2 linked regions of the Schizosaccharomyces pombe genome follow. The protein of the gene in region 1 interacts with the protein of each later gene in a biochemical or structural test. Each region holds a gene or a part of one and is shown in the gene's direction. Other genes may lie near its edges.

Region 1 (4,983 bases):
GAGAAATTTTTCGGGAAATACCCCTCAATCACCACAAATAAATTCTGCTGCTTTGAAAGTGGAAACAAAGAATAGCTGGACAGCAATTTCTGAAGAGACTGAAGGACTTCAAGATGACGAAGAGTATAATGGTATTCCTGTCGATGTAAACGAATTGTTAAACGTAGAATTCATATCGCAAATACCAATGAGTACGGAAACAAGCTCCAGTTCAAGCCCGCAGCCTACGGAGGAACGGAAAGCAAAGTTCAAACCCAGTTTTACTCAAGGCACATTCGTCTCAAAGCGCATGCGTATGCATGCGGAGGATTTATTCTAGAAAATAGAAGAATGCAATTGATAAAAAAGAACTACACTTCTACAATTTAGAATATCGCTTTTCATATAAACAAGGTATGACTGATGTTAAATTTATCCATTTTTAACTACCCGTAATACTATTATACTTTAATGACAACGATTTTTGTTTTCTCTTTCATCAAGCATTGTATTGAATAACTTATAGACGAAGAATGCTATTGCTGCTGTGCAAACTGGCTTTATCAATTCGATATATAAACAGTTTTCGCCATGCATGGCTAAGATCGTAAAGTTCAGCATCACAAAAAGTTGGAGGATCATGTTTTAAAAGTGAGTATAAGTACTTGTAATTTTAGACACTACATTTTAGCAGGGGCTTCATCGGCTTTCGCCTCAGCACTTCTCTTGGAGTCGGCAGTATCGCTTTCCGACTTTACTGCTTTTCCAACGTCATCAAAAAAGTTGTTAATTCCATGTCGCACACGTTCAATACCATAAACAATCTTGTGGTCGGCTTTACGAACGTCTTCTTTACCTTCGCGTTCCATTATTTATAATTTCAGAGGATGTACAAAAAATTCAAGGTTGGTCGTATTATCAAAACTTCGCAAATGTATAGGGACAAAAGCAATTAATAACTTTAATCTCACCTAGTGTTTAAGTGTGATAGAATGAGTATTTATCACCAGTTGTTTTGTTAAAGAATAAACCGCCGAAGCCGGGCGGCTGCTGTATATATAGTAAACATATCAGCGTCCCTACCGCCAACCCATGACGTAAGTCGGGTTATTAAGAAATGCGATCTCGTGAAATAAAAAATAAGATTGAAAATAATGGAAATTGGAAGAAAAACCGAGAATTACAAGGGCGTTTTGTATGTACCTGATAAATGAATATGTTTAATCTATTTGACTCACATAAACGTTGTATTTATGTTTTTTTTAGTGTTTATTTATTTTTTCGATTAGTGTATTTCACTAAGTAAACAAATTATTATACGATTTTTTATTCACATCGAATGATGCTGCAGGTACAAATCGAGCTATCTAAAAAATATTACTTTTCAGTACGCCTGAACCGCTTGCATAGTATATTAAGTTTTTGATTAATAGCATGTTGCATTCCATTCAAAAATTTAATATTTTACATAGTAAAACGATTTGAGACGGGAGATAGCTATACAGAACGTGAAGTCTGCAAATACATACATGCTAAATCATTGTTTTATTAGCATAATGTCTAAGTCTATAAGTTCGCTTACCGGAGTTTATGGTAAGTATTTTTTTTCAGGACTGCCTTGGGTCGCTTCTCAAATCACAGTATTCACACATAATCAATACAAAATAGTGAGCAAAACTTGTGCGCTTAACAGAGATAACAATTATAGAGTCTCAAGGATGAATAAAGTGGACTTTGAATGAATCAATTGTTCACCATATATATCTCAGCATTTGAAGGCTTTTTATCTTTCCACTGCAATATTCTATTGCTTTTTTTTGATAGTTTAAGGCTGAAAAATCTTCATTACATCGGTTTTCTTGATAAATTTGTTAATTGTTGACATGAAAAGCTGCACCTGGCAACGCGTTGCCGTTTGTTTACCTCGTTGTTAGTTTCATTTACAATCAACACCACCACCATATACGAATAAAGAATACTGCCATAAAGGCGAGATTGAAAAATCTCTTAATTCGTGTTTTTTTCCGTTTACATGTCTCAACAATTAAGCTTTAATGCATCTTCAGCAAAGCCTGATAAAAGTTTTTCAAATTACTTTTGGGTATGGTGTCTAAGCCAACGTGGATAGCTCATTATCTGCCAAAACTTTCGATTTTTGTGTTAAACACAACACCTTAACTAACATTCTTTATTAGGGTGCAAATGATGAGGGTTATCATGCTTTACTTTCGCGTTTTAGCGATGTGAAACACATTAATGAAGAGCTTCGGTCGTTTTATCATGAAAGGTGAGAAATTTGAGGTGAAGCAGGGTTTAACATGCTATGATCGTTTATTCTAACTTCAACCTTAGAGCGAACATTGAAGAAGATTATGCCAAGCGAATGGCAAAGTTGTCTCGAACAACCTTCAGTTCTTTGGAAACTGGTTGCCTCAAAGAATCAGTCCAAGTTATGAAAGCTGAAGTTGACAATATGGCAAAGTCTCATTTGCAGATTTCTCAGTTGCTTCAGGATGATGTCGAAAATGCGTTTACGCGGTACGCTGCCTCTTTAAAGGACAAGAAAAAGATGATCGTTTCGGGGATAGAAAAAGTTCATAAGGATAAACTCTCCAAGCATCAAGCTCTTGTTAAAGCTCAAGACAAATACCATTACTTGTGCAAGAAAGTAAATTACTATGTTTCTCAGCAAAACATGCTTTTCGGAAAGGAGCTAGAGAAGAACAATGCGAAATTAAACAAGACTCAGAATGCTATCACTGCTAGTTCTTCTGACTATCAATCAGCTGTAGCAGCTGTCAGAGATTCATACGCTCGTTGGACCAACGAATGGCGGTCAACCTGTGACAAACTTCAGGACATTGAAGAAGAAAGAAGACATTTCCTGAAAAGCGTCATGTGGACATTTACACTACTTATCTCTCGTAGTTGCTTTAATGATGATCAAGCATGTGAACGAATTCGCAAAAATCTTGAACAGTGCAGTGTCTCTCAGGATGTTTTGGAATTTATTGACGCAAAATCTACAGGAACGGGAATTCCTCAACCTCCAAAATTTTATGACTATTATAAGGGCGAGGTTCCCGATGATTCTGTAGAGTTGGTTCAGGCTAATTTTCAGCGGGCCCAAACCAAAATAGAAAATGACAACATGCCATTGAATCGTCCATACGTCCTTTCTGCCACCGCTCGTAATGAGTCGTCCTTCGAAAATACCCTTCCTAATACTCCTAGTGCAATTCAATCGCTTACCACTGTTTCTTCTAACTCTTCCCAAAATGGTAGAAGCTCTCCAAAGAAAAGCTTTTTGAGTAAGTTTAAATTAACGAGTCGTCCTTCGACTCCAAACGTTGGTAATACGGCTCCGGATGCATTATCAAGTCCGAGAAATGACTCTCCTTTAACTTCAGCGGCTGATGAACAGATGAAGCATCTTTCTTTACAAGAAGAGCCAAAACAGAATCCTACGCCTGCTGCTCCTGGTGCCTTCCCTAACTCTAATACACTACCACCAAGGTATAACGAACTTGGTTCTCTACCAAGTCCTAATTCTGTTTCTTTCACCGAGGACTCCCGCCCAAATGTTAACACTCCATCACGGCGTCAACAAATTCAGGAAGAATTTGGTAGTGTACTACAAATGGAGAATCGTGCGGTTTCACCCGTTTATGATTCAAGAAAGAATGGATCTCGAAGTTCATTCACATTGAGGAAAAGTAGGTCACCAAAACGTCCTTCCTCTTCCCTTTCTCAGAATGCCAGCCGACTTCCTCGTTCCTTAACACCAGGAAATTTAGAGCCAAATTATGATTTCGGTGTTCGAGTTGATCCAGCAAGTGGTACTGCACCTACCGATGACGAGCCTTATACTGATCGGGACTCTTCCTTTGTTGATGATACAATAAATACAAAAGCTACTGGAAACACGTCTAACCGACTTTCTTTACCTGCATATCCTACAGACGGCGGTGACACCAGTATTGATAATCCAACAAGTACAGATGGTCAACGTATTCTTGGTTATGGTATGTCTAATCTGTCCATCGCTATTACAATTACTAACTTGAATTTAGTATCTGCTTTATATGATTATGATGCTGCAATACCCGAAGAGATAAGCTTCAGGAAGGGAGATACCATTGCAGTTCTTAAGCTTTATGAAGACGGCTGGTGGGAGGGATTTGTCGTTGGAGAGGATGACCATAACCGTGGGCAATTTCCGTCAAATTTTGTTCGTGAAATCGAGGTTTAGCTTTCGTATTATAGTTTCGCATTTTCTCATCTTTTCTCATTCTCATTTAAATCTAAAATACTAGATTTCTAATTTTGGTTGTTTTACATTATAGGATATTTAGAATGCTACACGTTTAGTTAAGTTATCTACATTATAAGATTATTATCTTATAAATCTTTATGAATTTTGCAGATTAAAATGATACCGATTGTTATATATAGCATTATGTTCAAAATGATTGAATTATTGTCATTCATTGCACCATTTTCTACCTAAATATTTCTAGTAATTCTCGTTTGCTTCTAAAATTCTGTAATAACTTAAAAAACATCAAATCTTTACCAATCTAAGTTAACACACAGGTCTATAATAGCTTCATGTATAACTAATTACTATTTCCTAGTAAGCTGTGACAACGTGGCCGAGTGGTTTTAAGGCGTTCGCCTGCTATTCTGTAGCCCAGCGGATTCCCTTTGGGAGCGCAGGTTCGAATCCTGCCGTTGTCGATATCTTTTTTAAGTTGCAAAGCGATTCACTATAAATTTTTGCGGTTCTATATTGGAAATCGCTATTCACTGTTATTTTTGTTACTTAGCAAAGTGGTTTTGTTGTTATAACTAACGTCTCCAACGATAAAAGACAACAATCTGCTTGTATTACTATAAATGCAAGATTCTTCCTCTTACGCGAGGCGTATGTTTTCTTTTTTTTCTTTTGACTAATAAGTTAACAATAAGTTTAGGGTATTCACAGGCACCTTCTTCATCTAA
Region 2 (3,733 bases), 1.8 Mb from region 1:
TTTCCAAACCCTCAAAAAACGAAGGAATTCCAAACACATTTTACGTTTCCTGTAAACTAACAACCCCATAACGATCAGTGTTATTGATAAGAAAGCGTCATACTCGTCATGTTTAGTAGGGTCAATGACGATAGGAGCAAATTTTCAAATTTTCATAAAAATTCGGTTTTCAACACAACCCGTCACGTTTTTATCACGCTCTTCCAATTTTACAGCCTTTTACATAATCAAACTTCACAATTGCATGTATAAACACATACCTATTTGACTTAATCAACCAAACGTACTAGTAGCAGGTCGTCGTCATGAACCAGAGAATTCGTAATTCAGATCCAACTAAGCGATGACTACTGTATAAATGATGAAAAGACTCGGTCAACTGTCCAAACTGAAATTTACAAACAGAAAAATGGTTTTCGTCAATTCAATCGTTCAAAAAGTGCTCAAAGTAAACTTTTTAGCAATTTCCTAAGTAGTTTCTTTCTTCTTATGTTGTAAGTAAAGGGTAAGTTGTAAATTCCTAGTGCCACACTTCCACCTGTTTCAAACAGATGACGTCATTGCATCACTTTGCATGATTGAACTTAACCAATCACGTGCGGGGCTCTGAAGAAGGGTAACAAGGAAATGGGTCTGGAATAAACCGAGCAAGACGATACTTAAAGTACTGCTGTGTAGTTTTGTATTTTGTGTTATCGTATCGTTAAGAAACGTATCGATAGTTTGGGGAATGGGAAAGGATGGACGGAAAGTAGGATGTTATTGGTATATCATGGAGTGCGTGCTTTTTAAGCAAATATGATGTTAGCAATATGTAGTAAAAATGGTGAGTTTGTGTATAGTGCCATGAATCTTATTTCACTCTTAACTCAAGCTTATTTTATATTAACCGATGAATGAATAAATAATATATCTTTGATGAAGCTAAATCGTTGCGTGTATTTCTGATATTATGTTGTATGTAGGTAAGTGTTTTAGGTTGGACTTCTGCGTGTTTGTAAGATGTGTACGTACGCTGAGTAATTAGCAATGTATGAATAGATCCAGCAGTTCCAGAAGACCTACGAAAAAATAAAATAAAATAAAATAAAATAAAGTAAAAAATAAAATTAAAATAAAAATAAAGATAGGTTATACGCAGAAATAATATACAAGTTTCAAATATTATGAGTACTTGTCACGAATTCAATTATGGAGAATTCTGTACAGTAGGATCTTTCAAAAAGTCTTTACATAGACTTAGATTGTATATATAACATACCAACCCTTACAACATTTAAATAACAGTTTTAATAGCTAATTCATTTGTTTTACAATGAAATCTTTTGCTTACATTTTCGGGAACTTATTAGTCAATACGGGTTGGCATTTTGTTGGGATTACGGATCCGAAAACTACCCAAAAGATAAGCAAAGAAAATGAAGTTTTTTAAAAACAAAATAAATTTGTATTCGTGAAACATAAAAGAATAAAAAAATTAAGTTAGAAACATTTTATGCAAATCATTCCATTCAATTAGCAATTGTGATGGAATTGGTTATACCAATAGATATTTTACACTCATTTTAAAACAATTAAAATTAAGTGAATATATTTGTGTGGTGTGTACTGAGTCAATCATTAATGCAATTAGTTATATTAATAAAGTTCTTTTTGTTTGCGATAACTTTCGTCTCTCTTTTTTTTTTTTTTTTTTTGTTAATTTTTAATTTTTTTTAACACGGCATCTTTCTTCACGAATTTCCTAACTGGAGCCATCAATATCGTAGCGTACACAAATTTCCGTTAAAGCATTTTAAATTGCAGTAAGCTACGTTAAATGAATGAACGAAAGCTAACCCCCGTTATCGGAGACAAACCAGCCCCCTCCTACAGAAGTTGCGCTGCACTGCTTAAAATCCGCACTCGAATTGTATAAAGTAGCTTTTTTGTTTATAACCCGTTTCTCCATCTACCATATGTCAAAGAATCCTCTTGGAACGTTGGTTGTCCGAATATGGAAAGCTGTAAGTCTTAAAAGATGAAGATTTGTTTTGTAAAACTAACGTGTCTTCTTTAGAAAAATTTACCAAACAAGGCTCTAGTGGGCAAACAAAGCCCTTACTGCGTTTGCAGAGTTGGTGAGGTGGTAAAACGTACGCAAACGGATAAGAGAAGCGGTCAAGAACCATCGTGGAATGCGGTACTGGAGTTTAACATTCCCAGTGAATCTTATCATATTATGAAAATAACCGTTTTTCACGAGGGATTTCGAAAGCATCCACACTTGATTGGTGATACTGTATTGTCTTTTGAGAAAGCGATGAAAGAAGAGTTACAAAGTGAATGGTATGAACTAAAAAATGAGTTCCAATTTGCTGGCGAGCTATCTGTGCAATTCAAGTTTATCCCCACTGATCCTCTATACTTTGACCGTGCTTCTTCTAAGCCAGTTTTACAATTTCCATATTCTAGTGTCGCCGCTTTAACTCCTGTACCTAAAAAACCCTCCAAACCCTCCAAACCTCGCAAAAAGGTACCTGTCTCGCATCCTCTTCCTCCAACTCCTCCTTCCAGGGAAGAGCATGTTTCGGTGCCTCGCGAATCTTCTTTATTCACATATGAGGATGATCCCTTGCCTTCTTTTCCCAGTCCTTATATGGTTGATGATTATTACACGCAAGATGTTTTCGTGTCTGACAATGTCAATGATTATTCATATGGTGTACAAAACCCCACGAATCCTAGATTGTCCGTTGAAGACTACGATGCCAACCATTCCTCTCTACCTCCCGTCCCCCCACCTCATTTAATTCTTCCTACAGCTTCTTCTTCCCAAATATTCCATTAAACCACACATTCTCTTTTTTTTTATATTCAATGGTCACTGCATTCATCGATTTAGGTGGTATGGTATAAATTTCCTAATCTTAACATCTTTTCATTTTTTTAATTATGTATATACAATTTCCCTAAAGCCATGCACGCACTTTGATTGAATTTCTCTTGTACATACAGGCCTTTACCACTTTTCAAGTCTTAATAATTTTTTTACCTCATAAAGATGAGCGGTTCTAGTTATTATCCAAGGTTGTTTTGTTTTTTTAAACACTTCCATCTCCTCTTTTTCTTTCTCTCCTTTTTTGGTCTCTTAATTCCATACGATTGGAATGTTTAACATTCATCCTATATTTAGAGATTGAAAAGTGTACATAACTCATATATTTCTTGAATTTATTCATTAAAACTATCAATTTTATATTATCAATTTTTTGGAACAAAAACCCCTTTGATCGTATTTTTAAAAGCTTTTTACTAAACTTCATTTGTATTTCTGATATAAGTCATTTGTTTAACTGTTTTTTTTAGACACCAATGTAGCAACAGAAACATCTTCAGCCTTGCGACCCATTACTTCCGATGAAAACAAATATAGCTGCTTTACCTTACCCTGCTATGAACAACGATACATTTCAAGTCAAAATCTAAAAGTCATTACAATACAATAGTTACTAACATCAACTTGGACGGAAAAAAAGTACATTGAAAATACTATACATAGAAACCTATATAACATATATACAGGTATATATTTTAAAGAAGGCCTGGATTATGTATAAATATTGATAACATCAAAACGAAAATGAAACATTATTTTCTTTTTTATTGTCATGAAAACGGAACCACAAAGTAATTGTGATTACTTCTTTTTAGGACCGCCCAAAGGAGCACCAATGTTTTGGCCACGTAATTT

Evidence for each region.
Region 2: the proteins of imp2 (region 1) and fic1 form a complex in vitro, tested with the Schizosaccharomyces pombe proteins (one study listed by BioGRID).

What each region holds. Positions count from the first base shown.
Region 1 is NC_003423.3:3,345,970-3,350,952, forward strand, and holds imp2 (F-BAR domain protein Imp2), read left to right. Parts: upstream 1-1,930; 5' UTR 1,931-2,011; coding exon 2,012-2,080; exon of another isoform or gene 2,081-2,174; coding exon 2,175-2,266; exon of another isoform or gene 2,267-2,331; coding exon 2,332-4,004; exon of another isoform or gene 4,005-4,052; coding exon 4,053-4,231; 3' UTR 4,232-4,483; downstream 4,484-4,983. Other genes in the region: SPOM_SPBC11C11.01 (U2-associated protein), read left to right, coding at 1-319; protein tam11, read right to left, coding at 660-848; protein Ndc80, read left to right, coding at 4,879-4,906, 4,956-4,983. UniProt on the Schizosaccharomyces pombe protein: Required for normal septation. Involved in the disassembly of the medial ring during septation.
Region 2 is NC_003423.3:1,542,992-1,546,724, reverse strand, and holds fic1 (contractile ring-membrane anchor Fic1), read left to right. Parts: upstream 1-1,949; 5' UTR 1,950-1,958; coding exon 1,959-2,006; intron 2,007-2,059; coding exon 2,060-2,830; 3' UTR 2,831-3,233; downstream 3,234-3,733. Other genes in the region: multiprotein bridging factor Mbf1, read right to left, coding at 3,680-3,733. UniProt on the Schizosaccharomyces pombe protein: Involved in the ingression of the plasma membrane during cytokinesis, leading to the separation of the daughter cells.